Linked DNA regions of Schizosaccharomyces pombe. Changing the gene in region 1 together with any one later gene gives a genetic interaction. Each region holds a gene or a part of one and is shown in the gene's direction. Other genes may lie near its edges.

Region 1 (9,041 bases):
GCCCTATTTTTTCCTTTCATGGTTCATCGAGATGTAAATTCAAAAGTTGGTGGTCTCGTTACTATGTTTTTTTTGTCTCGCATATACATTATGAGCGTTTTATGGTAGATAATGATTTTTTTAATAGATCTAATTAATATTTTAAAAATGGGTTTTGGTCATATAATTTTCATGCGATGATATAATTTGCTGCGTGTAAACACAACATACTATACTCAAATATAGACTGGAATAATAAGTATACTAATTATCGAGAAATGGTCGACATCAGTTCGTGCACAAAAAATAAACAATACTTATTTCCCTTTCCTTTTACTTGAATAAGTGCTCAAGCGAACTGCTACGTGCCAACTTTTGTAAACTTCATAGTTATGCTTTTTTTGACACCAATTCAACTTCATGCTTAGCTTTTCGTTACATTACCTTAGTTTCTTCTTGTTAGTTGCGTACAATCGGCGCACCCTGCCTGTTAGACTAAGATAAGATATATGGTGGTTAGATTAAATGCATCCTTCAGCAACTTACCGATAAACGTCTCAACACGAACTAATTTACAAATCCTTAGTCGGAAAGTGTAAAATTATATCGATAAAGTGAAAGGAAGCGTATCGGAGATATCACTCTAGCGTTGTTCCAACTATGCAACCCAGAGAGCTACACAAATTAACGCTTCACCAGCTGGGATCTTTAGCCCAAAAAAGGCTGTGTAGAGGGGTAAAGCTTAACAAGTTAGAGGCTACTTCACTTATTGCATCTCAAATTCAAGAATATGTTCGCGACGGTAATCATTCCGTAGCAGATTTGATGAGTCTTGGTAAAGATATGCTGGGTAAACGCCATGTTCAGCCCAATGTCGTTCATTTGTTACATGAAATTATGATTGAAGCTACTTTCCCTGATGGAACCTATCTAATTACCATTCATGATCCCATTTGCACTACAGATGGTAATCTCGAACATGCTTTATATGGAAGCTTCCTGCCCACGCCAAGCCAAGAACTGTTCCCTCTGGAAGAGGAAAAGTTATATGCTCCGGAAAATAGCCCTGGTTTTGTTGAAGTCTTGGAGGGCGAGATTGAACTATTGCCTAATTTACCTCGTACTCCCATCGAGGTACGAAACATGGGTGACAGGCCAATTCAAGTTGGATCACACTATCATTTTATTGAAACTAATGAAAAACTATGCTTCGATCGCTCAAAGGCTTATGGAAAGCGCTTGGACATTCCGTCAGGTACTGCTATTCGATTTGAACCTGGCGTAATGAAAATTGTCAATTTAATCCCTATCGGTGGTGCAAAACTAATTCAAGGAGGTAATTCACTTTCGAAGGGTGTCTTCGATGATTCTAGGACTCGGGAAATTGTTGACAATTTGATGAAACAGGGATTCATGCATCAACCTGAATCTCCGTTGAATATGCCATTACAATCTGCACGCCCTTTTGTTGTTCCTCGTAAATTATACGCTGTAATGTATGGTCCAACAACGAATGATAAAATTCGTCTGGGAGATACAAATTTGATTGTGCGCGTGGAAAAGGACTTTACTGAATATGGAAATGAATCTGTTTTCGGCGGCGGAAAGGTTATACGTGATGGTACGGGACAGTCTAGCTCAAAATCAATGGACGAATGCTTGGACACTGTAATTACAAATGCTGTAATCATTGATCATACCGGTATCTACAAGGCTGACATTGGCATCAAAAACGGATATATCGTAGGTATAGGTAAAGCAGGAAACCCGGATACAATGGATAACATTGGAGAAAACATGGTCATTGGATCTTCTACAGATGTTATATCAGCTGAGAATAAAATTGTTACTTATGGTGGTATGGACAGCCACGTTCATTTCATCTGTCCTCAACAAATTGAAGAGGCATTGGCTTCCGGTATAACTACTATGTATGGTGGAGGAACTGGCCCTAGTACGGGAACTAATGCTACTACCTGCACCCCAAATAAAGACTTAATCCGTTCCATGCTTCGTTCTACTGATTCTTATCCCATGAACATTGGTCTCACCGGAAAAGGAAATGATAGCGGTTCAAGTTCTTTGAAGGAGCAAATAGAAGCAGGCTGCAGTGGACTTAAGCTTCACGAAGATTGGGGATCTACTCCCGCAGCAATTGACAGTTGTTTGTCTGTTTGTGATGAGTATGACGTTCAGTGCCTAATTCATACCGACACCCTCAATGAATCCTCTTTTGTAGAAGGTACATTTAAAGCTTTTAAAAATAGGACCATTCACACGTATCACGTTGAAGGAGCCGGTGGTGGGCATGCCCCCGATATTATTTCTTTAGTCCAAAATCCAAATATTCTTCCCTCTAGCACCAATCCCACACGACCATTTACTACAAATACGCTTGATGAGGAACTGGACATGTTAATGGTATGCCATCATCTTTCTAGGAATGTTCCTGAAGACGTTGCATTTGCAGAATCCCGTATTCGTGCTGAAACAATTGCTGCTGAAGATATTTTACAGGATTTGGGAGCTATTAGTATGATTAGTTCAGACTCTCAAGCCATGGGTCGTTGTGGTGAAGTAATTTCAAGAACTTGGAAAACCGCCCATAAAAATAAGCTACAACGAGGAGCACTTCCTGAGGACGAGGGTTCAGGTGTTGATAATTTCCGTGTGAAACGTTATGTATCCAAATACACTATAAACCCTGCAATTACTCATGGAATTTCTCATATTGTTGGTTCTGTGGAGATAGGCAAGTTTGCTGACCTTGTCTTATGGGACTTTGCTGACTTTGGGGCAAGACCCAGTATGGTGCTGAAAGGAGGAATGATTGCATTGGCCTCTATGGGTGATCCAAATGGATCGATTCCAACGGTTTCTCCCCTCATGTCCTGGCAAATGTTTGGTGCACATGACCCCGAGAGGAGCATTGCATTTGTTTCCAAGGCCTCTATAACATCCGGTGTTATTGAAAGCTATGGACTTCATAAGAGAGTTGAAGCCGTAAAATCTACGAGAAACATTGGGAAGAAAGACATGGTTTACAATTCATATATGCCAAAAATGACTGTTGATCCAGAAGCTTACACAGTTACTGCAGATGGTAAAGTTATGGAATGTGAGCCTGTAGACAAACTTCCACTTTCCCAGTCTTATTTTATCTTTTAATTATTTAGATTTTGATTAAGGAAGATAATGCGAGTTTAATTAATATGAAATTTTGTTTGTAAATTTCTTTACAGTTGTTTGAGGCCGAGAAATTCCATATCAAATTTTAAAAGACCAATTACTATTTAAGTTTATAAATATAATATACTCCCGCTTATGAGTTGGTGGATCAACCTTGTTTGCTTACTACCCACGTTTTTGCTTTAAGGTTATATAATTCTTTTCAAACACTAACAAATATTTGTCACAAATTCATATACTATAAACATTCAGAAAAGTTGTATTTGAGCTAGTGTACAGTCGTATTCGTTAAGTCAGAGTGAACTTCGTCGCTTACCAAAGCGGTAAACAACACCTACAATCAACGTTCGATGAGCCTAAGTGACTAAGCTGTGAAGAGATTAAGACTTTCATGAAAGCGTTATTAATAATTTCTTTTAATCATGAAAAAGTTCTTGTCATTCAAGCCTGCTGAAGACTTCCTTCGATCTCTTAAAAAATCATCACAATGGTTTCTGCTGATCATTATTGTCGAGGTTACCATTACATTATCTTTTGAAGGATATGTTTTTCATCATTTTCGTTTAATCACAGTCGAAAAAATTGATGTCTTTATAAATGCTATGGTGCCGTCTACATTTGCACTGTTTTGTATGGCATGTCCCTATTTACTTTATACGGCTGTAGATGCATTATTAAACAAGGATGTAATACAGGTAAGTTAATTGTCTCCAAAAAAAGCTAAAATGGCATTGTTTGTCTTTTGTCGATTCATATGGTTGACGCACTTGAGATCTAAACCAATTCAAGCTAACCGAATTATACGTTTAGATGTCAGCACTTCTTATCTTTCATGTAAGCCTTTTTTGCCTATCTGTTGTCCAATATTTTCAAATATTTTCAAAAGACCCCAGAGCGATTTTCCTCTCCGCTTTATACTTAATAGATCCCATTCGCCTCGTCACATCATTTAACTATCACGAAAGAATAGTTGTTAATTCTCATATGTTGTTATTTTATCTGAAGCCATTTGTAATCGCTCTTCCGGTGCTAATCGGCGTTACTTGTATCTTGCTGAGCTTCTTGGTTTACAAAATGAACAAAGCATTTGGATGGATTATGTATCAGCAGCATGGTCCTGATCTTCGAATGAGAAGAAGGTATCTCGTATACAAAATATTCATGTCCTTAATTAAGTCGGACTATTATTTTTGCCTAACGGCTACTGTTCAATATGCTATCTTCTTTTCTACCATAAGTCGTGTTGGGCTAGCACTAACCATTCTTGTCTTCCCCTGTACAATCGCAACTTTGATGACCTGTAGGTATGCTGTTTACAGAGAAAATCGTGCATTGTTAGGGATTGTACAGTTTATGTTTATGTGTGGACTTGCATATTTTATTTACAACTGTGCTAGGCTATACCTAGGCGTCGACTATGGGGATATTGCTGTTGCAAATATTTGTATGTTGGTGTTTTCAATAGTCACCATAATTTATTTGTTCACAACCATAGTCGTAGGGTTTTATTGCATTTCCAACTTCGGTTATGGTCTTAGGGAATATTTACGCTATATCCATCAAAAGCAAAAAGTCAATGCGGCTCCTGCTGTTCCTAAAGTTCGCATGCCATTGGACGACTGAGAGCTCTCTTTCTTTTGGCATTCTAAAAATGTGTTTTCTTGTTGTTTATCAATGTTCCTCATCTCTCTGTCCTAATCATCGTTTGTTTTCTTACGCCTGTTGAATTTACTGTTTTCCATTTCGTGTTTCCTTGCATTCCTTGGTAGGTGAATATTTTGTGCTCCGATCTCTTGTACTGTGTTTTTCCTTCATTTGACCTTTAATACATATCTTTTTTGTCTTTGTTAAAATTTATTGCTTTCGGTCCTTCTTTTGAAAGCTCAGTCTTCTTGCCTATAATTCACAATTTGAAAAAAAAAAAAAAAAAAATCTCCTAATTCATGCTTCATTGCTCATATCATTGCTATTATTAAAAACAAAATTCTCAACATGCTATTACAATGATTTAGTTGAGTAAACATTTTGAGCTGGTTCTTTTCTTATACAGGAAAAAAGGTGATAGCTAATTGGAGTTGACCATTTCCTTACGGAAGTTTTAGAACGAATATATCGTTCTGTGGCCTACAAGGATTTTAAGTCAAAAAATTCTATCATTTTTCTGGTTAAGAAGGAATGTTTATTAGTTGTTAACTCACACTTGTGATATTGTTGATTGTAGTGATTGAACCGTTTCTTTAAAAGTTTTTTGAATGATCTGAACTAATTTGATACAAATAGTTAAGTCTAGTCTTTTCTGTTTATTAATAATCCTAATTTATTAATAATGCTAATAAATAAATTAATTGTATAACGTAAACATATATTTTTATTTATATACCGCGTTTGAATAATAATACCCAGTTTTGGGACAATAATGGGATACCGTTCCTAATTACCTCCATAATTTGATTTCTTGTTTTAATATGACGATATATCGTACTAAGTCATTGCTGCCTTCTGCCTCTTAATTCTGACTTAAACTGAAAAACAAAATATTTCGTGATTTATCGTTATTAATTATTTAGCAGGATTTCTACAAAATTTGTTATAGAAATTACAACGTAAGCAAGCATTCTCGGCACTATCTTTTTACCGTAATTTGCCTCACTCCCTTATACGTACTGCATTTGTTTTGATTCCCTACCTGCTTGAATGTGCGATTCCAATGAATGACCCTCCATAGGCTCTAGGTGAAACCTTATTTTACACATATAAAACAAGGTGAATTCCATTTCAACACTTGAATTCCTAACCTAACAACTACCATCCATAAGTATTTTGGTATATTTACAAAAATTGAGTGTAATTCACTCTTATAATCGATACTTCTGATTGTCATTAGCGTCGTTGAGATCAAAACAAAACAATTTCCAGGATTTTGAAATTTGGCTTTTAAACAGCTGAATCTTTGGTTATTTTGTTGAAGTTTCTTTGATTTAATATCTTTTCACCCCCCTTTCACCTCTATTCAGTTTAATTTAATCATTTGACTCTTTCTTCTTGCATCGGTTCGTTCGTGTTCGCTTTACTACTAACTTACCTACCTACATTTGTTCTCCTTATCCTTAATTCTTTTACAGATATAACAAAACGTCTGCCAAAGTCAACACACTCGGGTTTTGTCATTTAATAGGGCAAAACGCTACTCTACTTGGGATTTTCATTATATTTACTCTCATTCATATTCTTCCGTTTCTGTGACTAAATCACCATAAAAAAACACCTTCCTTCCCCGGAAAACAAATAAGCAAACAACACTTTTTTTCGAAACACATTGTTTAAACAAAGTTTACGCCCTTTTATTATTGAAGATTTTCACCCGGTCAACCTTTTACCCTTTTCCTATTTCGCAAATTCTGTCTCTTTTTTTCGTCACAATTTTGGTCTACTTTGCTAAAATCAAGTCGCGCATACATTCATCATTCCGGCTTTTTTTTTGCAATCATCATTCCATATCTTACCGATATCTGTGATCCTTGGGTTTGTAAATCTGTTACTGAGCAGTTACATATTTGTCACAAGAACAACCACTTTTGGTTGATTCATTTTCTTATTTAAAAGTAAAAAAGAGTGTACATTCAACAAATTAAAATTATCTTTTAAGCCCAAAAAAGCGTTTTTGAGCATATTCTGATTATTTATCTGTCGCCCAGATTCTTCATTGAAAGATTTCTTTTTCTTTTCTTTTTTTTCTTGTTTTATCGCTTTTGAATTTGACTTTTACTAGTTCAACGTTTTAATATTTCCTTCCTCTTCTCTTCTTTTTGTTGATACAATGCCGTCTCTTCTGAGTTCACGCATTCGCAATGCCGAATTTGCCAAAAAAATTGTTACGGATCCTGCCAAGTTGGTTCCGTACTTTAAAAATGGGGACTATGTTGGTTGGTCTGGTTTTACTGGTGTCGGTTATCCTAAAATGATTCCAAACGCGTTAGCAAGACATGTCGAAGAGAACAATTTGCAAGGAAAATTGCGTTTTAAATTGTTCGTTGGTGCCTCGGGAGGTGCTGATACGGAATGCAAGTGGGCTGAATTGAATATGATTGAGCGCCGGTGTCCTCATCAAGTAGGAAAGCCAATTTCTAAAGGAATTAACTCTGGCAGAATTCAGTTTTTCGACAAGCATTTATCCATGTTTCCCCAAGATTTACTTTATGGCTACTATACTCGTAATCGTGAAAGTAATACAATTGACACAGCCATTATTGAGGCCACAGCCATTACCGAGGACGGCGGAATTGTTCCCGGCGCATCAGTTGGTGCGAGTCCGGAACTTATGCAACTTGCGGAAAAGATTATCATCGAGGTGAACACTGCCATTCCTTCTTTTGAAGGACTTCATGACATTGTCGAAATTCCCAACCCCCCACATCGTACTCCAATAAACATCAATCGAGTTGACGATCGTATTGGAAAGCCATACATCAAAGTGGATCCCAAAAAGGTTATTGGAATAGTGGAGGCTGATTATGGAGACATCACATGCGCTAACTCTCCGCAAGATGAGACTTCGCAGGCTATTGCAGGCCATTTAGTTGACTTTTTCCATCATGAAGTATCTGTAGGGCGTCTTCCCAAAAATCTTCATCCTTTGCAATCCGGTATTGGAAACATTGCCAACGCTATTATCGGTGGTCTTGCCCATTCTCCCTTTAAAGATCTCGAAGTGTGGACAGAAGTCTTACAAGATACTTTCTTGCCTCTCTTTGACTCTGAAAAGTTACGTTTTGCTACTGCTACCTCAACCCGTTTTTCTCCTCAGGGATTTGAAAAATTCTACTCAAACTATGATTACTACAAGGAAAGAATTTTGTTACGCCCTCAAGTAATTTCCAATCACCCTGAAATTATCCGCCGTCTTGGTTGCATCGCTATGAATACTCCTGTGGAAGCCGATATTTACGCTCATGCCAATAGTACAAATGTTTTGGGAAGCAGAATGTTGAACGGTTTAGGTGGTTCTGCTGATTTCTTGCGTAATGCGAAATTAAGTATTATGCATACACCATCGGTTCGTCCTTCGAAGAAGGATCCTACTGGTATCACTTGTATTGTTCCTATGGCTACCCATGTTGACCAAACCGAACATGATTTGGATATTTTGGTTACAGAGCAAGGATTGGCTGATTTACGAGGCTTGTCTCCTACCGAACGTGCTCGTGAGGTTATTGACAAGTGTGCTCATCCTGACTATAAGCCTCTGCTCAGAGAGTATTTCGATATTGCCGAAAACTACTGTTTAGCTAGAGGAGCTGGTCATGAACCCCATATTCTTGCCAATGCTTTCAAGATGCAGCTCAACCTTTTAGAAAAAGGAACGATGAAGATCGATCATTGGTAAATTTAGTTATCAGTTGTTATAGCCACTTTTACTCTTTCTAAGGGTTTTCCAAAACCTTGTTACGACTAAAATACAGCTTCTTCGTGCTGTTATGACTTAATGTATTTCATTTTTACATTAATTTAATTTACGAAATAAAAAAAATCCGTATACTAAAATTAGTGTTTATAAGTTAAGGAAATTAGTTTTGAGTAAGTAAATCCAACAATCATAATGCGTATGAATTTTCCAAGATACACAGAAATGAGCGCGTTTATTTTATGAGCAGTATTCCTTTGAAGATTATTAATCTTTAGTTCCCCTGCAAAATTCGTAAGTTGGCTGTTTAGTACATACCTCTATATTACGTTGAGTTGTGAGTCAGCATTTCTGCTATTAACCTAGTATCAAACCTGCTTACTCAGAGAGGAGTACCACCAAAATTTAGGAAAGGATAATCAAGTATAGAAATTATCGTACAGTTTTGTCTGGATCAATAGTTTCCATTCAC
Region 2 (7,555 bases), 1.2 Mb from region 1:
ACGCTTTGTCAATTTAATTCTTTTACAGTAATTTATATTTTAGATATCTCATTACATTAATTGACATTTCGCGTCTAAATCTCATATGTGGGAACTTCTACCTTTTCACTTCGTGGTTTTCGTACTCAACTCAAGCCCCAGAAAAGACCGGTTTATTTTAAATTAAAAAACACCTAAATGATTTTAAGATCAATTGTATATTATGAATAATGACAATTTGCATGATAAGTTAACGATATGGCGCCAACAGCAAATTGAACTTAAAGGGATGTTGCAGCTAATTCCCAAATTTCAAAGTTTGAATGAAATAAGATATGTTGTAGGATTGGATATCTCTTTTGATAAATCAAGTCCAAAGGCTGTCTCAGCCCTTGTTATTTATGATTTAGAACAACGTATGATTATTTATAAAGATTATTTGTGCATTGAGAAATTAGAAGAGGACTATGTTCCCGGGTTTCTTTCATTTCGAGAAATTAAATGGTATTTGCCATTGCTAAATCACATTCCTCATCAATTTCGAATTGATATCATTTTAGTAGATGGAAATGGCGTATTGCATCCTGTCGGTAAGTAAGATTCTGTAAACAATCTATTTACTTCAAGGAGACACTCTCAATGAAGGATATTATTAATTATATCTAACTCAACTTAGGATTTGGATTGGCTTGCCATTTAGGTGTGTTGTTGAATCTTCCCGTTGTTGGCGTCGCGAAAAATTACTTACATTGCGTGGGTTTGACTGAAAGCTTAGATGCACATCGTGAAACTTTAAAGAAACACGTGCTAAAGAAAACAACTGATCATCCAATATTGATTCACTCGATTGATCAATCTTCTGAGATTCTGGGCGCTGCAGTATGGACAAGCAGTAACTCGAAACGCCCAGTTTATGTTAGCATCGGTAACCAAATGAATTTAGAACAGTCTATCCAACTCGTACAGAAATGCAGTAGCTCTCATAGCAGGGTACCGGAACCGATCAGGCAAGCAGACATTTATGCCAAATTTGTCCTAAGTCAATCGAAAAGGAATAAGAAAAATTAAGCAAAATCATCTTACGAGAAACATTACTTTGTCTACTTAGATATTCTGTGAGTATTTTAATTGACGGTTTAGAATTAGATTAATCTACAGGAAAGAGAAATAAAAAAGCGGAATTTGAACAAACGTTAAGCAACCTTTAATGGAAATCCTGTTGTATCATCCAAGCTTAGTAAAGGTCAAAAAATTACCGTTCAAGTCATATAAAGATACACAAATCTTTGAAATGAAAAAACAAGCCCAATTAAAACAGAAAGATAAAAAAACAAAATTGACGGAAGAAACTAAAATTCGAATCAATCTCTTTGAACATTTGTAGGACATGAAGGTGGAGGTAGTGGAATATCAGTGGGAGAGGATCTAGCAACTTGCTCATATGCAGGAGGACTGGGTCCAACACTATTGAACATTGGGGGGCATTCCTCATCCCAACTAACACCAAGACCACCTCGTTCAGTCAAAGGTAAATTGACCTTCATCCTTAAAATTCGGGCATTCGAGTTTATGGGATGCGAGTTCATCACTTCGACGACTATAGTCTCAAGAATTAGTTGATGGGCAATATATAGAGAGAATTGTCCATCAAAGGAAACATCACAAATAGGCTTTGAAAGTAAAGATGTACTGATAGGGATCTCGAAGATAATTCTATCGCCATCTTCTTTCCAACCAGACTTATGTTCATTATTTCCCAACAGCCGAGTCTCCTTGAAAATGTATGGCTTTTTTGTCCCAGTATGGGTCGAGCAACCATTTATTTGAGCTTTTATCTGTTCTTCTATTCTCCACGAAATCTTCGTTAAGCGCCAACCAACCTTGGAGTTTTCAGGTTTTACACCGGTCAGCTGAAATTCAACAGGAACACAACTCAAAGGGTGAATTACAGGAGGCAGCTCTAAAAGAGCAATAAGCGAAGTAGGGGGGAAGAGACGCTGGGCAATTTTATCAGCATTAGTGACAATAGAGCGTTTCAAGTTTAAAGGATATTCAAAAACAAAATCGGGTTGACTGGGAATCTTAACGCGAGTTTTTAGGATGTAAGTAACGTTTATGAATGGTGAGTTGGTCGTTTGTGGAAAATGTCCAGGTATTATAAAAGTGAATGGCCAAGTATGTGTACCATGAGTATATACGGTAGGTTCTTTAGAAAACTCCCATTTCTCAAAAGCCTCAACCTGAGCTTTGCAATCGGGACAGCTGTCGCGCAAAGGACGCTTTGTGGATATTATGCGGACGAATTCCATGACAATGGATTCGCATTTGAGATCTGCAGGAAATACAGTCAACTTGGCAAGTCCAGATGCTAACGCTCCACTAGAAACATCTGGATTCCCATACATTACCAAAGGAGGAGACTCCATCTGGATGTTGAGTTCGAAAGGTTGTTCTTCTGTTGAAGCATGCTGAAATCTCCTGACTAATGAAGGCATCTTGACGGTTCAGCTAATGACTTAGGAATTAAATATTAAAAGGAAAGAGTAGGAAAAAATGAATCTAAAGAACAAAGGGGGGCCCGATCAGAAGAATTAATATGAGATTGAAATTAAACAAACAGAAAACGGCTATGAAGAGAATGAAATATATTTTTTGGTAAAAATTTTAAATTAATATATATCCTTAACAGCTTCTGAGGTTGAAAGCGACAGCACAAGAGATGAACTCAGGTTTTATGTAGAACGGAATAGGGATTATCGAATTTGGAGCTTACTCCTTAAACGTTTGATCAAAGATAAGCAATTGTGCTTCAATTTTTTTCAAATGATATAAAACAATTGAAAAAACAACTTCCTCTCAATAGTAGTTCGAAATGGAAAAAACAATTAAGTAGCGTTGAATGTGTTTTTCTATGCCAAAATATTTACTCAAATCAATATACAGGAGCCTTTTTTTAGCGTCCAAAGAAATACTTTGCTCACTGTAAGCAGAGCGTAACTATGAATACAGTGCATATAGCACCTCCCTATGAAAAATATACTAATGTAGTAAGAAGAGAAGGTTTTTGCAAAGGAAGAATAGGAAGTGTAGTCTGCATGCTCCCCAGGCCACTGAATGCGAAGGTTTTCAAAGTTTGTTATCTACAATCTTACGTAGCTGTGCGTATCTCAAGCCGACCTAAACAAATCTCGTTATTCCAAATAATATTTATTTTAAACAGTTATCATAATTCTATATGATAATAATCCATAGTAACTAAGCTGTTTTATATGTATCTGAACAAAGGAATAGAAAAAATAAACCCAGTTTCCAAGTTTTTCTTTCTTTTATCCTTGAACATATGTATGTTTAATTCTTAAGATATTGCTACCTAAGGATTTGTAATAAAAAATACGTTATGATAAATATTAAAAAAATAACACATAAATAAGCATATGCCTCTAGAAGCCTAACAAATTTATGTTTTTTATTGCTGAACTATTTTTTTAAAACACATGCAAAAAATGATTTGCCGATACTTTGAAGCCGTCACAGCTGTTTGTTGCAACTGAATACACTTTCCTCAATATCGGAGTTATTTCCGGCGATCTAATCGACGTGATAACTGGAGAAAGTTATCATATCTTATCATTTGTAATTCTAAAAGTAAAATCGATCAACTCATAAAATAACATTTCACTTTGCTGCACTGTAGATTTTTCTTATCAAATCTATTGGTGTACTAAACAGACTAGCTAACGTTTGCTGATCCGATCGACTATAGCAGCACACTCACTCTCTATACCATAAGACGTTGCCGAACCGACATCTATCGTCATTCAAATAATCTTTGGATTTGGTAATTTTAGTCGTTTACATACGCTACTTAGTATTTTTTTGGATTTTACGCTTTTCTACTAAAGTATACGAAAATTAGACTACCTTTCGTGAACAATATAATTGACCAAATCTTAGAGCTGAAATTTTTTGAGAAATATGTCTTATATGCATTCTTTAAACCTGATGCTGCAAAATCCCAGCGGAATTGACAAAATTGCTGCCATTCTTGTCAACGTTGCGAGGTTGGATCCAGCATCTTCGAAATCAACTGCTCAACTGGTTTCTATGCTAAATGAATTTCGATGTATTTTACGTCTTCCTGGTCTCTACAAATTAATCGTAAATTTTCGTAAAGATTCTTCTCCTGAAACTTACATGAGTAACGCAATCAATATTGGATACTATGTCACAGAAGGATTGGCATTCTTAGGCGGCAAACAGATTATTTCCATATCAAAACCGTTGGAAGACAAATTATGGCTTTGGTCTTCTAGATTTTGGCTTCTCGATACTTTATTGACCATTTACCAGCTTTTGCGTGAAAAAACAGAAGACGAAAAGGAGCATCAGTTAGACTTAGCTTCAAACTTGGCTAGCCTTCCTTTGTGTATTCACTGGTCTGTAGAAAATGGAGCTGGTTTACACAAACACCAAATTGGAGTTCTTGGTCTTTTCAGCGCAATTGTACAAACTAGAAAACTAATCCTCTCTTTGCACAATAAAAGAGCTTAGTTACGAATGAGCTTTTTAAATTTAAATAGAAGTTACTTTTTTCATGTAATTCTATTCGTGCTCAACTATTTTTCGTTTTCTCGAATGTCTATGTGAGTAAAGTAGTAAACAAAAGTGGTAACAGTCGTCTTGGTTTTTTCAGCAAAAATCGAAATATGCCATTCTAAATGAAGGGACTGAATCGGTTTAAAGCTTGAAAGGTTTTAGAAATGAAGTCGATTTTAATCGTTAATCCATTCCATTAAAGCGTTTTAAATTTTGGGATATTGATCGAAAATTTAATCAACGGAAAACATTAAGTTACTCTTTGTTTGTCACCAAAATGTACCTTGTCATTTTTTTCTAATTGAACTGAATATCTTTATTAACGAGTGTTTTTAATGGCCCTGCAATTTCAAATTGAGGATGTACGATATCATACTTTTAAGTATATCATATATAAACGTTAAGGAATTATTATCAACTATAATGCACTACTTTTTTAGGTTTCTTCTGAAGCTCAGTACTGTTGAGAATGTTCTAATTACGACTCAAGAATTGACGGATAATAGCTCGAATAATAAATTTGAGGCGACATAAATGGTTACAAGTTGATTAAAGAACATAGAGATTAATACACATACTGTTAAATATGGTTCAATTGTTGAATTCATTTGGACTTTAATTCCAGCTTTAATCTTAATTTTACACGCATCATAATGGTTTCACTCAAAAAATCAGATTCAGTAATATAAAACAATTTACTACTGACTGAGTACAACGATATTTTCATCTAAAAAAAAATCTGAAAATATAAAGAATATTGTTATTTAAAAGAAAGGAGAACAGACTACGACAAATTGAAAAAAATGAAGGAATTGGTAAACAAAATGTATCTATCGAAAACAACGCTGTACTACGTAAAGTGAATACTGTTCGTAACCGCATTCCATACGGATGGCTAGAATCCAGTAACCCTGCCCTAAACTGTGACTGCTTTATCTCATTAAACCTGCGAGAAGTCAAATTATGAGCTACCATCTGCAATCACCATGTTGTTGTACAAGGACGTTATTTCTGGAGACGAACTCGTTTCTGACGCCTACGACTTGAAGGAGGTAGACGATATTGTCTACGAGGCTGATTGCCAAATGGTCACTGTCAAGCAAGGTGGTGATGTTGACATTGGTGCCAACCCTTCTGCCGAGGATGCTGAGGAGAATGCTGAAGAGGGTACTGAGACTGTAAACAATCTTGTTTACTCTTTCCGTTTAAGCCCTACTTCTTTTGACAAGAAGTCCTATATGTCTTACATCAAGGGTTACATGAAGGCTATCAAGGCTCGTCTTCAAGAAAGCAACCCCGAGCGTGTTCCTGTTTTCGAGAAGAATGCCATTGGATTCGTCAAGAAGATTTTGGCTAACTTCAAGGACTACGACTTTTACATTGGTGAGAGCATGGATCCCGACGCAATGGTTGTCTTAATGAACTACCGTGAGGATGGTATTACTCCCTACATGATCTTCTTCAAGGACGGTCTTGTTTCTGAGAAGTTCTAAATGCAAATTTGGGTTCTTATAAGGGAGTTTCTAACTGGGAACATGATATCATGTCTAAATTTTATAGTTTTGTGAATTAGTTTTCACAAAATTTCATTAGGATTAGAACAGGGGTTTTTGTTCTGATAATAATTAATTATGCTAGCTTATAATCATGTTCAAATTGAAATTAGTGTTTTTTTATCGATTTTGTATTTGGTTGAATGGAAGATTGAGGTATCGATGTTTTAAAACGTGTGTGCTAAAATTCATGAATCTATTTATATATTAACAGGCCGAAATAATTTAGTAAGTAAGGATATGGTTTGAAATTTGGTATTTTACCATTAATTTAGTGTATTTTTTTGCTTTTTATCGAAGTTGATAATTCAAGTCCTTTACGAGGAATAGCCAAACTTTTGTTATGGCGACACTAGACGACCCGGTAGCCATTGAAACTTTGTTACAGTCGAAACTATAGTTTACTGTTAGTACTAAAGATTTGGGAAATTTTTGCTCGACGATGTTATTTTTGTAGCGGACGACTATTGGATTAAATTTATGCTTAATTGTTAAGCCTTTTAATCAATCTTATCATTGAGTTAATAGACTAGTTGCATTTAATTTTGTCAATGTATATTGTTACGTTTAAATAGTAAACTATATAAGCAGTTTAAATCAACGAGTTTAGCTACAATATTCCCCTAAGTGAAATATATCATTTAAAAGCACTAACAAATACGCATAATTTAGGCATTGTACTATTTGCAACTAATTACTTAACACCTCGATTTGTTGCCCTTGTGCGGGTTACCATTCCCCTCGCTCATTTATCTAGTCTCTTTTACCAACCACACCATATATCCTTTGACGAGGTCATGACAGACGTTCAAGAGACCCAAAAAGGAGCACTCGTAAGTGATATGGAATAGATTTTTTATTAAATAGAAATAATTATTAATCTATGTGATGTACAGAAAGAAATTCAAGCATTTATACGCTCGCGTACAAGTTACGATGTTTTGCCTACGTCCTTCCGTTTAATCGTGTTCGATGTTACGCTTTTTGTAAAAACATCACTTTCTCTTCTTACATTAAACAGTACGAAAGATTTTTCATTACAGATGTGAAATCAACTTATTAATCACGTCTTAGATATCGTCAGTGCTCCTTTATGGGACAGTGAAGCGAATAAGTTTGCGGGCCTTTTAACGATGGCGGATTTCGTCAATGTTATTAAGTATTATTACCAAAGCTCTTCATTTCCCGAGGCTATAGCTGAGATTGACAAATTTCGATTGTTGGGACTTCGTGAAGTGGAAAGAAAGATTGGCGCCATTCCTCCGGAAACTATATATGTTCATCCAATGCATAGTCTTATGGATGCTTGCTTAGCCATGTCAAAGAGCCGTGCTAGAAGAATTCCTTTAATTGACGTAGATGGCGAGACAGGCAGCGAAATGATTGTATCTGTTTTGACACAATATCGAATTTTGAAATTTATCTCC
Region 3 (8,503 bases), on another chromosome or scaffold:
TCTACGCAGTCGTGATGGTGTAATGAAATTACCGAGCGAGGAAATTGCATTGGATTTGATTAGCAAATCTCTGTCGGTTGTGAACGACTTTTATAAGGATGCTCGAGCTTACTTACTTGACTTTTATGAAAAAAATTCTTCTACATAAAAGTCTCAACATGTCAAAGTACCTAGCCTTTCTTTCCCCCTTTTTATGACATTTATACCAGTTGTCTATCAAAGTCTTCTAGTTTTCCCAAATTTACGATAACTTGAAGTTAGTGATGAATTTCCAGCTTTTACGGTTTGAATAGTTATATTTATTATGACGCCCACACTTTTCCCGTACTTTGAAGTGCTTCCCTCTATCAAAGCAAATAGAGTGAAGTAATACAAGTCCTCAATTTAGTTGAGTATCCCCTATCCAAAACTATCAAAAACAGTCTATTTTTTGCTTTACCTCGTCTACCTTTTTGATATTGAGATATGCAACAGGCAGGGTTTTCCTGCGGTTTTTTTTTACGGAACATTTTTGAAGCTCTCGATATCAAACTTTATGTATTTAATAAGCTGCTTTCTCGAAAAAAAAAATTCTTGTTTGTTACGTTCTTACGGTCGTGGCATGTATTTATACCTTTATTTATCTAGTTTATTTACGAAATTGTCTATTGTGATTGTTTATCACAAGCCCAATCCCCTAATGTTGAAGGACTTTAAACCTTAGATAATATGTTTACAACCGGTCGTTTAAGATGCTGAATTTGGTTAATTCAAATTACTCTTCAACACTCATTTATCCCCACGATTGGCGACAGATTTTTTTTTTTTTCGAGTTTGATTTGCTTTGTTGTTGTTTTTTTATGTTTTTCCTAAGTTTTTAAACTGTGTTTTCAAATTTTCTTTAACCTAATGTTAATCATTACATGTACCTGATTCTCCTTTGTTTACCTTTTTTATTATTCAACTTGAGATGTTGATGGATTTTTTATGATTTTGGTGATAACCTTCACGTCCTTGTACATTACTGAGTTGTGAATTATGGTGGACTTCAAATATTGATTGACAAACCTTGCAAAAATTTTAAGTATATTGTTCTTGCTTTTTGTAATTATGATTGCTTTTGTCATTATCTCGCTTTAGAGAGATTATTTAAAGGATTAATGAAAACACCTTAAAATGGTCATTACATACAATAATTATTTATGATTTGATTCATTCAGCGTTTAATATGTGTACTTTCAAGTGTGATCGAACTGACTTTTAGCGTCACTTACTAAATGTTTTTGTTGTTGTGGGTTAAAGATCGAAAACAATTCTTCGTTGTAGATTGTTCGTTTTTGAGAATAAAAACTAAGAAAACACGTTTGCGATGAAATGAAATTAACGAACTTCTTTTTTTTGTTAATCGAAGTATAGTTTGTTCGATTCCGCAAAGACAAGAGAACATTGAAATATTGATTTGTGTGAAACAGCGAAATCAAGTATACCTCGTTAATTAGCGCGGCAAGTAGGATCCTGCGGATTCATAGACGTTCCTTTGGAGGCGAAGCGTTATTAGGATTTTCATACCCGTTGTGCAGCTTTTCGTCGCCTTGTTTTTCTAGAATGATGCGGGATGAATTGAATATGCGGAAGCTACAGATGTGCAAAAACTAGGCATAAACCTCGCTTGCCTTCTTAGTTTGCTAGGCAATGTGAAGCAAATGGTCATAATCCAAGTGATACGCCTGACAGAGACAATTTAATTTGTAAATTATTTTTATCATTGTTTTTATCCTCTGATGTTACAATGTATTCATTGATATCGCATTTCGGCATTCCGATGTTCAACCCCGGTATGCGAGAAGGTGTTGGCCGCTTTTTTCGGTATCAAAGTTGAAATTTTAGATGACTAATCTTATGTTAATTAAAGATAAGAGGACGAAGTTTGCTGAAATCAAGTACAGGTTTTGATTGACTAGGCATCCTCACTAATGGTGTGAGAGAAATCTGTTAGGATATGCAAGCTGTCATTTCTCACTTTTTCAATGTTGGAAACCTGTACACAGACAATGCATACTCTTTTCTATATCAATTTGCAAACTAGATGGCAGCTCATTGTTCTGTGAATAATCAGATTAAGGTACTGAACAACGGAATATGGATTGCAATGTTCTTTGAAGATCTAGAAGGGGAAACCATTTTTGTTAGTTAAAAGTTTTATTTTTTTGTTTTAAGTTACTAGTTATTGTCTTTATTTTCTTATTTTCCTTTCTCTGTGCACTAATATTAAATGATTTTACTCTTACTATTTACCAATTCTCTTGAGCAGATGAAGAGAGGAATATTTTAAAAAATTAGTGTAATCCACGATAACGTACAATTTGCTTTTTCAGAAATCACACACGATTTCGTTAGTAAGTTTAGCCGAACTTTAGAGTTGTGCCTTATACAGATATCTAGAGATCATTTCTGTATAGCGAGCGACCTTTAGTACGACACACTTAGCAAAGTCAATGACGTTTCAGTCAAACAAGTGACTTATATAGGATTCATACGTGCATCCCATTTCATCGTTTGCCAACATGTCCCTCGCTTGGAAAAATGAGTTATTGAAGCTTTTAAAAGAAAATGTCGACTCCAGTGGAGTTATTCATCCCGAATACTTCCAGCTGGCAACTTTACCCACTGGTAATGAAATTTACCCCAGAAATCGTACTGTAGCTATTCGAGGATTTGTCGGTACAGGATGGCATAAACCACGTCCCGATGATGTGCTAGCTACAGATTTATTGGTATTCTCTACGGATATTGCTTCTCACAAAGCTGCTGAGATTGCTGAGCAGCAAAAAAATACATTCCCCTCTGGACCCATACCGAACGCATTTGAAATGTGTGGATGGTTACCAAAGACAATGCAGCAAATTCGTATTTCCGGTCAAATTTGGTTATACACACCAGAACTTGCCGACCGAAATGAATTTCCCGCAGACAAGTTGATCCAGGATCATTTAATAAACAGCAATGGCCGCATTCCCGAAGAATGGTCTTGGGAAGAGGAAAGAAGACGTATTTGGGAGTTACATAGTCCTGAACTTCGCGCTTCCTTTTCTACTCCTCCTTCATACTCCAAATACCAAGGCGATGTGAAGGTGTCACCTTTACCTTCTACCCTCACTGGAAAAGAAGATCCCGGGGTTATTGAAGCTTGGAAGACTGCTTGGGGTAGATTTTCTCTTGTTGTTTGTGAGGCTAACGAAGTCGAGTTTTTGAATCTTACCCCTCCTCCAGGAAAGCGCGTTTTGCACAATAGAGATCTAAACACGAAACAATGGTCCTCCACTCGTGTCAATGTCTAAATGTTTTCCTTTTTTTTCGCACATCCTTTATGAATTGATTGCTCTTGATAAACGTGCAATACTTATGAACTACGAATATTAACTTATAATGATTACTCCTAACATTTTGGTTCTTTTTTTTTGTGGAGTATATGAAAAAGGTCTGATTCCCTCAAATTTGCCTAGCTTACAATTCGGTGGGTTTTGTAGTTGAATTTTTTTTTAGTACTGAAGCATAATACTGAGTACAAACTACAAACTCAGTGTATTCCGAATTTTCTAATGTTTATTTACGTTGTTAAACAACTAAATTATCACTTATCCTATGTCAAATTTCCAATCCGGCCACTTGATGAACTATTTACGTTTATAATAAATAAAAAATTATGAAAATTGTGTGTATTAAAGTACTTACAGGAAGACATTGTAAAAAATTGTTGCGAGATTAAGCAAATAGGCCAACCTACCTGCTAATGATGATCATTTATTAAAAGATCTTACCTGTATAATATTATATTAAGGTTATTACTATATGGCTTGTTTTATTATCTTATATTGTCTTACGCAGGTAGAAATGTAGCAAAAAAAAGGGAATAAAGCACCACATAAGAAACACAATGTCTTATTTGAAGGGACGGTGAATTGCCAAGTCATTTAATTTTATCGAATCAGTATTCATAGAACCGTAAAGGTCCCCGTTGAGTTAAGTGGCATTATTGAATACATGTGTGGATCTTAACTTATTAACGATACAAATTTAAAACCTGTTAACGTATTCCTTACTATACATTAAATACTTTAAGGAATTTTACCAAATTGGCTTATACATTGGATTATTAGTACTCGGTTACATAAGGGATTAGCAATTTCAAATACAGGATTGCTCATCCATCATTTTTTAAGCATTGCTGTTATTTAAGCTCATCTAGATCAGAACTTCTTTTTCTCTCTAAAGTATAGAACACTTGGTTTACAGAGTGACATACACTTCAGTTTGTCAGTTTATTGAGAAATAGGGACGGTATTGCTAGCTACTGGAACCAAACCCACCTTTACTTTGCTTTAGTCTTTTCTTGTTTTCTTCTGTCTTTCTTTTGCATTGAGCTTTTCATCGCTTTTGTTTGGTGAACAATATTATTCAATTTAGAGGTACATATTAATTTGTAATAACAATGTCTATAAGCTTTTCGGAATTGGTAGCTAAGACATTGTTGGACTTAGAGGTTAAAGTTGTTTTTGGCATTGTTGGCATTCCCGTAATCGAAATTTGTGAGGCTATCCAAGCAAGTGGAATTCGGTTTGTCGGGTTTCGCAATGAGCAAAGCGCAGCTTATGCAGCGACTGCCTATGGCTATTTAACTCAGCGCCCTGGGGTCTGTGTCGTGGTAGGCGGTCCTGGCGTTGTACATGCCATGGCCGGTGTTTTCAATTCTAAAACCAATCGATGGCCTTTGCTGCTTTTGGCTGGATCCAGTGAAACATTTCAGCAAAACTGTGGGGCCTTCCAAGAATTGGACCAGGTTTCTTACTTATCACCTCATACGAAATTAGCCGTGCGCCCCCCAAGTCCCAAAATGGTTGTTGATTCCATTCGAAGAGCGTATCGTGTCTCCATGACCGGCACTCCTGGAACATGCTATGTTGACTTGCCAGCAAATTATATTGAATCTACTGTCGATGACTTTCCTAAAGACCCTCTACCCCCAATTCCTAGTTCTCCCAAATGTGCACCTGATCCAACACAGCTTCAGAAGGCTGCATACTATTTAAAAAATGCAAAGGCACCTCTGCTTGTCGTTGGTAAAGGTGCCGCATATGCCTGCGCTGAAAAACAGCTCTTGGAATTTGTTGAACATACTGGCATTCCGTTTCTTCCGAGTCCCATGGGCAAAGGTTTGTTACCAGAATCGCATCCCTTAAATGTGTCTTCGGCAAGGTCAGCTGCTCTTCGTAATGCAGATGTAGTGCTCTTAGCAGGGGCACGTTTAAATTGGATATTTCAATATGGTCTTCCACCAAAGTGGTCTCCTAATGCCAAATTTATTCAAATTGATACCAATGCTGAAACTTTAGGAAACAATGCTGCAGATTTGGATTTAGCAATTTGGGCTGATGTAGGTCTGACAATAGATTGTCTTTTTAAGCTCGTTCAAACTTGGAAGTACAGTGTTGGCATCTCGACCCCTTACCTTCGCACGTTAAATGAAACCCGATCCAAGAATGAGAAAAAGGCTCTTGAATCTCGAAAGTCCAGTATACCGTTGCAAATGAATTATGCTTTGTATGTCGTGAATGAGGAGCTACAAAGCTTATCGCTCAAATCAAAGCGTAATATCACTTGGGTTTCTGAAGGCGCCAATACAATGGACCGGGGCCGTCAGCTTTTAGAAGTAACTCATCCACGTGGTCGACTGGATGCAGGCACTATGTCAACAATGGGAGTTGGTATGGGATATGCTATTGCCAGCGCATTTGCCCATTCATCCGACAAAATAGTGGTAGTTGAGGGTGATAGTGCTTTTGGCTTTAGCGCCATGGAACTGGAAACCGCCATACGCAACCAGCTGGATCTTTTGGTAATTGTAATCAATAATAATGGTGTTTACCATGGATTAGATACTGATGCTTATGAAACTTTACGTGATAATCACCAATTACCGACTACTGCCTTAGGCACTAGTATACGTTATGATCAAATTTGCGAAGCATGTGGTGGTAAAGGTTTCTTTGTAAAGAATGAAGAAGATTTGAGAAGTTCCCTCAGGAAAGCATGGCAAACCTCATCTGTATCTCTCATAAATGTTATGGTGGACCCGGAGGCTGCTCGAAAATTGGTAAGTATTAATGGAATGAATTAGGTATAAGAACAAGCTAACAATCACTAGACATTTGCATGGATGAGCAGTACCAAAGTGAAACCAAAGTTATGACCATCATTTAATTAAAAATAGAAGAAGTGATGTTCTTTTACGATTCTTAAAAATCGGAATACAGTTATTGTTGCTATTCAAATAAAGTCGTTTATTAAAAAAAAGTATTAAATATAATCTAAAGGAAATTAAAAATATTAAAAAATATAAAGATAGTGATAAAACAGCAGAATTAAATAAGCTTAGAGTATGCTTGTTCTATGTCCTTCAGCAACCATTCCTTAGTAGAATTACGATTTCTTCTTAAAGGTAAAGCACCTTCATATGTACCATTATTAGGCTGAGCTGGTAAATCTAATATATGCGAAAGAATGCCATAAATTTCGGTGTTCTGGAACGGTGCAAGCTTCTTTCCCTTAAAATTCTTAAAAGAAGATCCTGAAGCGATAAAAAGTGCTCTCATCACTGGAGACAAATTGTCATAACCATGTACACCCAAAGGCTCATACTCCAACTCCGGTGAATGATCCAGCATCGAGACAAGAGACCATCCAACATCCGGGATCATCCAAACGGGAGCTATTCTTTCATTATTTGAGTAATGCCATCGAGAAGGTATATCTTTCTTTGAATAAACATTCCAATTCTCAGCAGAAGGTAATGACGAGCGAGAATAATTAACAAGACTTTCGTAAATGTACTCATCATCTAAATCAGATTCTCCTCTAAAACCTCCTAACGGCCAAGCATCTCTGTGTGCAACGGCAGACAAATTAAACATATTATCCAGCCAGATAAGACGATTATCGGATGTAGGCGCCATTCCATGATCACTTAAAAAAATAATGTTGACATGCTTATCGATATTTCTTTTCTTCAGTCCTTCAATTAGTTCACCAATTACGATATCAACTTCTTGAATTATGATATTCAGTTCAGGCGAATCCGGTCCAAATGCGTGCCCAACCATATCTACATGGGGAGCATAAGCAAGTAATAACTGAGGGCGGTCTTTATCAGGAAGATCCAGCCATTCGAGTATTCTATCTTTCTTTTCTCTTAGAGTCGTATCAAAATTGAAACCATCCGAATAAGTAGGTCTGTAACCATGATTCTCCACTTCATTTCCAGGCCACATATGTACCGCTGATCGAACGTTATTTCGCTCAGCGTTGACCCATATAGGCTCCCCTTTATCCCACCAAGTTGGGTCTTTGTTACATTCAGGCATACTGTTGACAAATTGCTTCCCAGTTACAGGATCAAAAAAGTTGTTACTAACGATTCCATGGCTCTCGGGATATAAACCGGTAACAATAGTATAGTGATTAGGGAAAGTTATACTAGGAAAAGAAGGAATCAAAAAGGGAACATGGACATTACGTTCAGCCAGGCTCAGAAGATTAGGTGTGAACCCACGATATAAGTAATCAGCACGGAATCCATCCAAGGAGATTACGATGACAGTGGACTGAAAAACATTGGTCCCATTGTTGAAGGAACCTCCAACGATAGGAAAAATAATTGCTTTGAAGCAAAATAATTTCACAATTGCCAATATCAGAATTCCTAAAATGCAAATAGCGGCAATTGCTAGTCCCGATCGTTTTGCCCATTGATTCAAATAAGCCTTTCGATCATTTTTCAAAGGCAAATACTCGTTGGACCCAATATTAGCCCAACTAAACATTTCGGCGAATGTTCAAAATCAATGATATAAAGGAGTATTGTTAGGTATATCATATAATCTGTCAAATAATACTTACTTGAATAACGATGCGAAAAATATTGTTAAAATCATTTAACGCTTTCAAAGATATGCGGTAAACACTTTGTTCTAACTTACTTCAATTCGTAAACTATTCAGTCCTCTTAAATGTTCTGTCGTATAGGAAATGTCATCCTTTGAAACGTTTAGTGAAATGAGATAGCTTTTTTTCATATATGAAATTCAACTATTAATAATATTTGGATTCAAGGAGGAAACATCAACTTATGTTAGAAGCATTATTTGGCTAAAGCCTCAGAATAAAAGATTTTGTAGAACAAGTTTATTTGTCTTTTTACTGTTTCTGTATGGAAATATTAATTAACCATTTTTCAACTTATCATGATTCGTTCTGGATAGCGAACATGTTATGTCTATGGTTTTACATGATGTTAAAATAAATGGTAGCGATACTTTTTGTTAGGTCGTTTCTGAATTCGAAATTTCTCTTTATTTCTTTGTTGATTTTTGGGGAAATCGACCTCATCATACATTCGCAAAAGCGTGGCTTTGTTGTTGTAATTAAGGGCCTTTAAGTCTATTCCCTTAAACGCTTTGGTTATTAGTGA
Region 4 (7,454 bases), on another chromosome or scaffold:
AAGTCGCCGGTGGCTCCACCCTTGCTCCCAAGATTGGTCCCTTGGGTTTGTCCCCCAAGAAGGTTGGTGAAGATATTGCCAAGGCTACCAAAGATTGGAAGGGTCTCCGTGTGACCGTCAAGTTGACTATTCAAAACCGTCAAGCCGCTGTCTCGGTTGTTCCCTCTGCCTCTGCTTTGGTCATTAAGGCTTTGAAGGAGCCTGCTCGTGACAGAAAGAAGGACAAGAACGTCGCTCACTCTGGCAATGTCTCTCTTGACGAAATCATTGAGGTCGCCCGTACTATGCGCTTCAAGTCTCTTGCTAAGGAGCTTTCTGGTACCGTTAAGGAGATTCTCGGTACTGCCTTCTCTGTTGGTTGCACCGTTGACGGCAAGAACCCTCACGACGTTCAAAAGGAGATCGACAATGGCGAAATTGAGATCCCCCAAGAATAATCGCATACATAAGTTAATGTAAACGGATTATGTGCTTGCTTGGTAGTATACGGGTTTTGTATAAAACAGCAATGTTTAGATCTTGATGTTTTTGCTATCTTTTTATAGGGTTCAAAAAATACAGTGTTTAATATAGGTTTCTCTTGCATATCTGACATCCGGGAAAACATCCAAAATTTTGCACTGGATACTTTTAATTTAAAAGTTGTAAACGTTAAGGCGCTTGTAGTTTAATTGTGCTTTAATGATATTATTTGTTGTTGATGTCGGGTTTTTATAAATTGTATTCATGAAAATATTTCCTGGAATGGTAGAAAGAAATGTTCATACTTGATGAATGGTCCGTTTTAACACATTAAACTATGACTGTAATTACATGTGATTTTGTTTTTATTTTTGAATACTATCAACTGCTCTTGAGCTAAGATACTAAACTAATAATTGCCTGTTAAGTTCATAATCGTTGTAAGCATATAGTAAGGTAAAGCAAACGTAGCAGCAAATACCCAGTTCAATAAATGGAGTTTTTTCACTATCTACAAGTAAACTATAATAATAACTTTGTAAGGAACGAATGAATGATTTGCTCTTTCTTCAAGCTCTTTTAGTATTCTAGAAATCGGTTTAAAATGCCAATTCAAAATTACGATTAATTAAAGTAAAAAATAAATATTAAATAATCTAACTGATTACTGATTTTGATTCGTACATTTCATATAAAAGGGAGAAAGTATATCCCAACATCGTTTATAGACATTTTCTTTGAACCATCTCCTCACCATAGCACAGTAAACATTACATAGCGATACGCAAAATAGCACCACTATGTTTGACACAATCATCACTCCAATTCACTACGCTTCATTTGCGCATCCAACATGTCTCACTAAAGTTGGCTGGTTCGTACATATTCACCCTTGTCAACTGCGTATATCCCGAATTCAATAAACGTGTTATTTTGACGCGCATATACGTCTATATTCATAATGTCAGATTACAAGAGTCTTAAAGTTGCAGAACTGCGTGAAAAACTTGCGGAGAAAGGCCTCTCCACTGCTGGAAACAAAGCTGAATTGGTAAGCCGATTGACAGCAGCGACCGAGAGTAACGATGAAAATACTTCGAATAACAACGCTACAGATCTAGGAGATCTTGCTCCTCCCGAGGATGATATTGATTGGGGAGACATGGAGAATGATACTATTTCAACTGACGTTAACAAGCCAGCAGAACCCGAAAGTAAAGAGACCAGTGCTCCTGCCGCTGCTGTAGAGATTGAAAAGGAAAATGAAAGCATTATTTCGAAAGAGACTTCACAAGCTCCTGAAACTTCCACTGGTGCTGAAGAGCATCAAGAAACCACAGAGGAATCCAAACAAAGTGTATCTAATGAAGTCTCTAGCCCAGATGTAGCTAAAGAGCAAGAAAAACTCATCCAAAGGGCTAAACGATTTGGCATTCCTGTGGACGATGAACAAATTAAGAAAGCTGCTCGTGCTGCACGTTTTGGCATTCAACAACCTTTAGCGTCAAGTAATAACAAAAACCATAATCAATCTAAGAACCCTCAAAATCGTTCCAACTCACGTTCTAAACAAAGAAATAAGAATGCGCCTCCTAAAAGTGCTCCATCCAAGCGGAAGAGTAATATTTTGGACGACCCTATAGAGGCAGAAAAAGCTAGGAAGCGTGCTGAGCGCTTTGGTGTTGCTGCCAAGAATTAAAGTAACCATTTAACATATTTTAACTTCTTATTTTACAATATGACTCATGTTTCTTGAAGTTTTCTCCTCATGCCATGCTTTATTTGTATGCTTAATGCTTTTTTGATGAATTAGAACTTTTGAATTCCTATTTGTGTATATAAATTATACCCAGACTTTTGCTTCACTTTAAACAACTTATCCGAGTACAAGCATCCGATATTGGAGCCCTAAACGCTTCTAATTTCAATCCTACCTTTTAGGTGTGTTTTAAAACATCTGTGAAAACTCGGTTTTATTTTTTTAATAGCTTTTTGGGGCGTGATGTAAGTATTTCCTAGGCGAATTCTTTAATAGTTACCTATACTCATATGTTTTCCATTTTTAAAAAACTCTTCGTTCTAATCGTTTTGACATACACATTCGTTACAAAGATTTTCCACTCTGCTATCCATATGTATATATTTTGATGAGCTTATTTGTATTTAAGAAAAAGAGAAGGATTGTAATGTTTATATGATGTATCCACCTTTACTTCCAACAATGTCGAAATTCTTAATTTTTGTACATAAACTATTTTCTACAGGTTGGAATTTTATTTTTTTATTATACCTTTTTGTTTCTCAACTTCGGACTTCTTCTGTAACGTGCGACTTTACCTGTTTTGCTGTCATCGGTAAGTAAGAAAAAGTGAAAAATTTGACATTGCTGGCTGTAATGTTCTTTTGCGTTTTCTCAATTAGAGTCAATTAAAATGCCTTTTAATGGGAAAGAGTAACATCATTGTTTGTTTACATGTTGAAGTTTGTTTGTTTACAAACATGGCTTTTTAATCGACTTTTCTCAGAGCCACCTTCACCGTGTCTCAGCTACCCATTATTACAAAGTTTTGACTTTTCAACTCAACTAGTATCGCTACCTTTAAGAATATAAGAGTTGTTTCTATATCTTTTAATCCAGCCTCTATCCTGTTTACGCATCATGAATGCGAAATTATCTTCCTCCGGAATGGTACTGAAAGAGCTTCCGGAAGTCGCTTTGCAAAAGATAAGCTCAAACTACTATTGGGCTGTTTTTGCAGTGTTCCTGCTGTGCGCAATTGTCTTTCCTTTAGTATCGATATTCAGTTTGCCTCAAAAGCAGACTTACCACCGTTTCTTTTCCATCCTCAGTTTGGTTTCTTGCTTGGCCTACTTTACCATGGCCTGCAATTATGGATTGAAAAATGTGTTTTCTTCTGCTTCTTTTTTTCGAGAAGTTAGTGTACGAATGGTTTACTATGTTCGCTATATTCAATGGTTAATCAATTTCCCATTAATCATCGTAATGCTACATTGGACGGTAGGCGTATCTATACTAGAAATTGCATATGTCGTTTGCTATGTGCTTTTTGCGATTGTTTGCTTACTGGCGGCAGCATTAACTTCATCTCCCTATAAATGGGCCTATTACGGATTTTCGTTTGTAGGCTATTTTATTGCATTGGCACACTCAGTCGTTTTGCATAAAAAGTATGCTAGCCGTTTAGAGACGTCTGCGCGCCTAGGGTTTTTATGGTCAATTGTTTACTTACATGTCATTTGGTTCCTCTATTATGCATGTTGGATTTTATCTGAGGGCCTCAATGTTATCTCGCCAATTGGAGAAGCCATATTTTACAGTATATTAGATCTTTTCGAATTCGGCTTTTTTGGCGCTGCTTTTTCTTGGATGCTAGACTTGGTTGGTATTGAAAACTTTAAATCGCCTCAATCGATACCCTTAGGGGCATGCAGTCCTGCTGATGACAAGTTTTCAATGTGTCCGGACATGGAGGCACAAAACCAAGCTGATGATTTGGCCGTTGAAACTCGCATTCAAATTTCCAATTTACCTTCTTCACCTACGAAAAATAATTGCTAATAACAGTACGCATCGTTGCAGTTATCTTTGCTTAGTTATAGAAATTTACCTTCCGTTTTTTTTTTTTTTGTTTTTTAATCATTATTTGTTTCCTGAATGTTTAAAACAAACTCGAAGTTTCGCTACGAGAATTTCGTTGGCATTCTAAAACACAAACACTTTTTCGTGAAAAATTACGATTATGAAAACGAAATAATTATTATAAAAACGAAACCTTTGAACAATTATTAACGTTCATTCGCACTTGAAACGTCTAAATTTACGACGGTGAGTCATTGTTTACGTGAAAAAAGCATTATACTAGTTTTAGTTTAAGATTATTCGTAAATCATTTGCATAACTTTTACGAAACTTTACAAGGCATAGCTAATATTAATACAAAAATTTGCTGTTGAGATACAATATACGTTTAAACATTTCATAGAATAATAAATAAAAACTAAAAAAAAGAAACAAATAGTGCCCAAAATGGTAAATAGCCACTTTCAACGAATGAAGTAAGTAAAACTAGCATGAGCGATGCAAGTTTGCAAAGTGTTATGGGTATTTAAAGTCGAGCAGACTTAGAAGTATTATTTTCGTTTGGCTCACGTAAGTCTTGAATTGATATATGCTGCAACGGAGGAACTGTACGAGCACTGGGTCTAGCCGACAAACGACTAGCTTTAGAGGAAAAGCTAAAACGAGCACCTGACGTACGCGATGCATTTTCGTTTTCTTCATTCGAACTAGATTCTTGTTGAGAACGTTCGTACTCTTCCTCTTCGGCTCGGCGACGTTCCTCAGCTTCGCGTCGCATGGCCTCTGTGCCAGCGTTTTCAATGACAGCATCGGGAAGACTATCACGACCAAGCCTTTTACTTCCAATATCAGCAACATCATCAAAAGCAGGCATCAGATGCCGTGTTCCAAGGGAAAAGTCAACACGCTTTTTAGAAACACTAGCGGTATCGGAATCTGAACTACCAGGAGGAGTAGGTTCGCGGTAAGGATATGCTTTTGGGTTCTTCAGAATTCCTCCGCCAACAGTGCTGTCGCGATGATTTTCAGTACCACCACCATCATTACCACCAGATAACTTAACACCCTCCATTGAACCATTGTTGAAGTTGACATACATAGGTGAATCCTTTGATTTACCAGGGCTGTTGAAAATAGGAGATACAATATCCAATTCCTGCATATAAGTCATCAATGCACACATAAACATATTTCTTCGACGCATACGTAAAACCTCGTCTTGAAAGTTATATTTATGAAAGAATACAACACACAAAGACATGGAATAGAGATCCGGTAAATCCGTAACTTCAGTTAGTAAGTCAGGTTTATAATCACGCTTCTCTTCTTTCAAAAAATCAATAATTTTGATTCGCAGTTGTTCAATTTGCTGAAGAGTAGTTCCAAACTTCAGGTTAACGGTGACTGGGTCAGCAATGCCATCACTACGACGCATGTTCAAAATCCAAAGGGTGTTCAGCAAACTGTTTGGAGCTTGAATGACTTTTCCAGTCAATAGACGAAACTCGGTAGACATGATGGAAATTTCCTTGACCATCGCTGAAGTGACTGTGCCATTGATCATGACATCGACACGATCGCCCACATCGTAAGGATGTTTCACAAATACGAATATAATAGAACTAAGTAATTCCTGTGCGGAGCCGGAGAACAGCCAAGACAAACCTAGCAAAGTAGTTCCAGCAGAGGTAAGTACACCGCTAAAGTTACGGGCAATCAAGTATAAGAAAATAAAAAGAGTAATGACAGCCACTATAAACATGCAAATACCATCAAGCTTAGAAATGGAATCGTTCAAGTCACGAAGTGAAGCAGAAATGCTCTTACGCTCTTTTCCAATTTCCACACATGCGAGTTCAATTTCTTCACAGGTGATATCACCATTTAGATCACGATCAAAAATAGAATAACATGCCTCTAAGGTGGCATTATCCACTTCACCAGTTTCATCGGTGTATACGGGAATAAAATCATCCAGTACTAAATCGGGATTCTCAGGATTCACCAATGCCTCAAATAAGCAACGAGCTAGAGATTGACAACCGCGTGTGGTCTTTAACAAGTGTAGCACAACACTTTTAGGAGAAGAAGATTTTTCGACCTCACGATTAGTAATCTCACCAGCCACTTTGTTAACCATATCCGTAGCGAAGTTGAATGCAGAGATAGCTTTGTAAGTGGTTTTATTCAATGCATTCTGAGCAACCCGAGCAGCTGCTGCGCGCTTCTTGCCATGTTGGTGATCAGCAAACTTAAAAACATCTGCTTGAGCACGATGGATAGCATCTTTGAAATCAAAAGAACGCTGTCGCGCATATCCATACAAACGGGCGAGTTCATTAATAGCAAACTTATTGTAAAGGATTCTAGATTCATATTCACGACGGTGAAGCGACATGGCGATCAACTGCATAAGTACTTTCTCCACCAAATTCATAATTGAGGTGATGAATAAAGTGATAAGTACATTGTTGGCGCTCTGTTGCCAAGGGAGTTTTACGCGTACATGATCAGGTACACCATAATCACCAATATGACGGCGGGTCATAATGGGAAGGAAACTGACATATACAGCTAACATCCAAAGGAACAATGTAATAGGAAACTCAAGGGCAACTGCCATGCATCTCCATTTAGTAACGTTGTTACTGATGAAGGAGACGAAGAAGGCAAAGAAATAAGGAATTACTTTGGCAGCATAGCGAGCAGCCCATATAGAGAGCCATATAATTTCCCACCAGATGGCCATCCACATCAAATCAACACCTCCAACGTGTAAATGGCGCTCATATTCATGACCTAGTTCATCACGGTAAGGAGGTTGTGGGTGATAAAAGCGACCAATGAATACTGGAATCAAGAGTAAAACCCCGAGAGGAATAATGTAAATGAGCGAACGAAGGTAAAAGCTTCGCTGTTGAATAAATTTGAATATGCGACCAAAAATAGTTACAGGATGGTCCGGAGCCTTAATAGGAGCTTCAGTACCAAACGTCACTACACCAAAGTTGTCTAAATGATTCTCAGCCTCTTGAGCGGCTTCTTCATTCTCCGCAGTACGTTCATAATCGCCCGACTTTTTAGACTTGGAGGTACGCATGGATTTAGAACGATGGGAAGAAAGGCGTCGCATAGATCCGCGAACACTTCGGCCGGTAGGACGTCTTTGCAAAGACTGAGAACCACGGACAGCCATTTCGGCATTAAAAATCTGATTTTCATCTTCCAAAGTCATGTGCGAGCGATATGAGACGACAGAAGCAATAGGCGATCGAGATCGCTCATGTTCAGGAGAGTGCGGCAACTGCCTTTGTTTGGATTCTGGGTGCAACTTTGATAGTTCCATTTCCAGGGACGAAGTATCACTAGTCCCAGTATGACCTTGATTTTC

What was found.
Region 2: mutations in SPOM_SPAC1952.10C (region 1) and SPOM_SPAC1F12.04C together harm fitness more than expected from each alone (negative genetic interaction), as found in Schizosaccharomyces pombe (one large-scale study listed by BioGRID).
Region 3: mutations in SPOM_SPAC1952.10C (region 1) and hac1 together harm fitness more than expected from each alone (negative genetic interaction), as found in Schizosaccharomyces pombe (one large-scale study listed by BioGRID).
Region 4: mutations in SPOM_SPAC1952.10C (region 1) and mug73 together harm fitness less than expected from each alone (positive genetic interaction), as found in Schizosaccharomyces pombe (one large-scale study listed by BioGRID).

What each region holds. Positions count from the first base shown.
Region 1 is NC_003424.3:4,980,844-4,989,884, reverse strand, and holds SPOM_SPAC1952.10C (uncharacterized protein), read left to right. Parts: upstream 1-3,318; 5' UTR 3,319-3,590; coding exon 3,591-3,863; exon of another isoform or gene 3,864-3,978; coding exon 3,979-4,791; 3' UTR 4,792-5,588; downstream 5,589-9,041. Other genes in the region: nickel-dependent urease Ure2, read left to right, coding at 640-3,147; ach1 (acetyl-CoA hydrolase), read left to right, coding at 6,986-8,551.
Region 2 is NC_003424.3:3,808,041-3,815,595, reverse strand, and holds SPOM_SPAC1F12.04C (uncharacterized protein), read left to right. Parts: upstream 1-3,746; 5' UTR 3,747-3,954; coding exon 3,955-4,530; downstream 4,531-7,555. Other genes in the region: SPOM_SPAC1F12.06C (DNA repair endonuclease), read left to right, coding at 203-569, 656-1,047; arrestin-related substrate adaptor Any2, read right to left, coding at 1,341-2,474; tma19 (translationally-controlled tumor protein), read left to right, coding at 5,562-6,068; cbs2 (protein kinase activator), read left to right, coding at 6,926-6,961, 7,025-7,148, 7,203-7,555.
Region 3 is NC_003423.3:1,204,497-1,212,999, forward strand, and holds hac1 (2-hydroxyacyl-CoA lyase Hac1), read left to right. Parts: upstream 1-4,178; 5' UTR 4,179-4,468; coding exon 4,469-6,130; intron 6,131-6,181; coding exon 6,182-6,226; 3' UTR 6,227-6,360; downstream 6,361-8,503. Other genes in the region: histidine-containing response regulator phosphotransferase Mpr1, read left to right, coding at 1-148; SPOM_SPBC725.03 (pyridoxamine 5'-phosphate oxidase), read left to right, coding at 2,544-3,317; npp1 (nucleotide pyrophosphatase), read right to left, coding at 6,399-7,856; serine/threonine protein kinase Ppk31, read right to left, coding at 8,327-8,503.
Region 4 is NC_003421.2:620,195-627,648, reverse strand, and holds mug73 (transporter mug73), read left to right. Parts: upstream 1-3,121; coding exon 3,122-4,042; 3' UTR 4,043-4,133; downstream 4,134-7,454. Other genes in the region: rpl1202 (60S ribosomal protein uL11), read left to right, coding at 1-437; RNA-binding protein mlo1, read left to right, coding at 1,424-2,161; msy1 (MS ion channel protein 1), read right to left, coding at 4,590-7,454. UniProt on the Schizosaccharomyces pombe protein: Has a role in meiosis.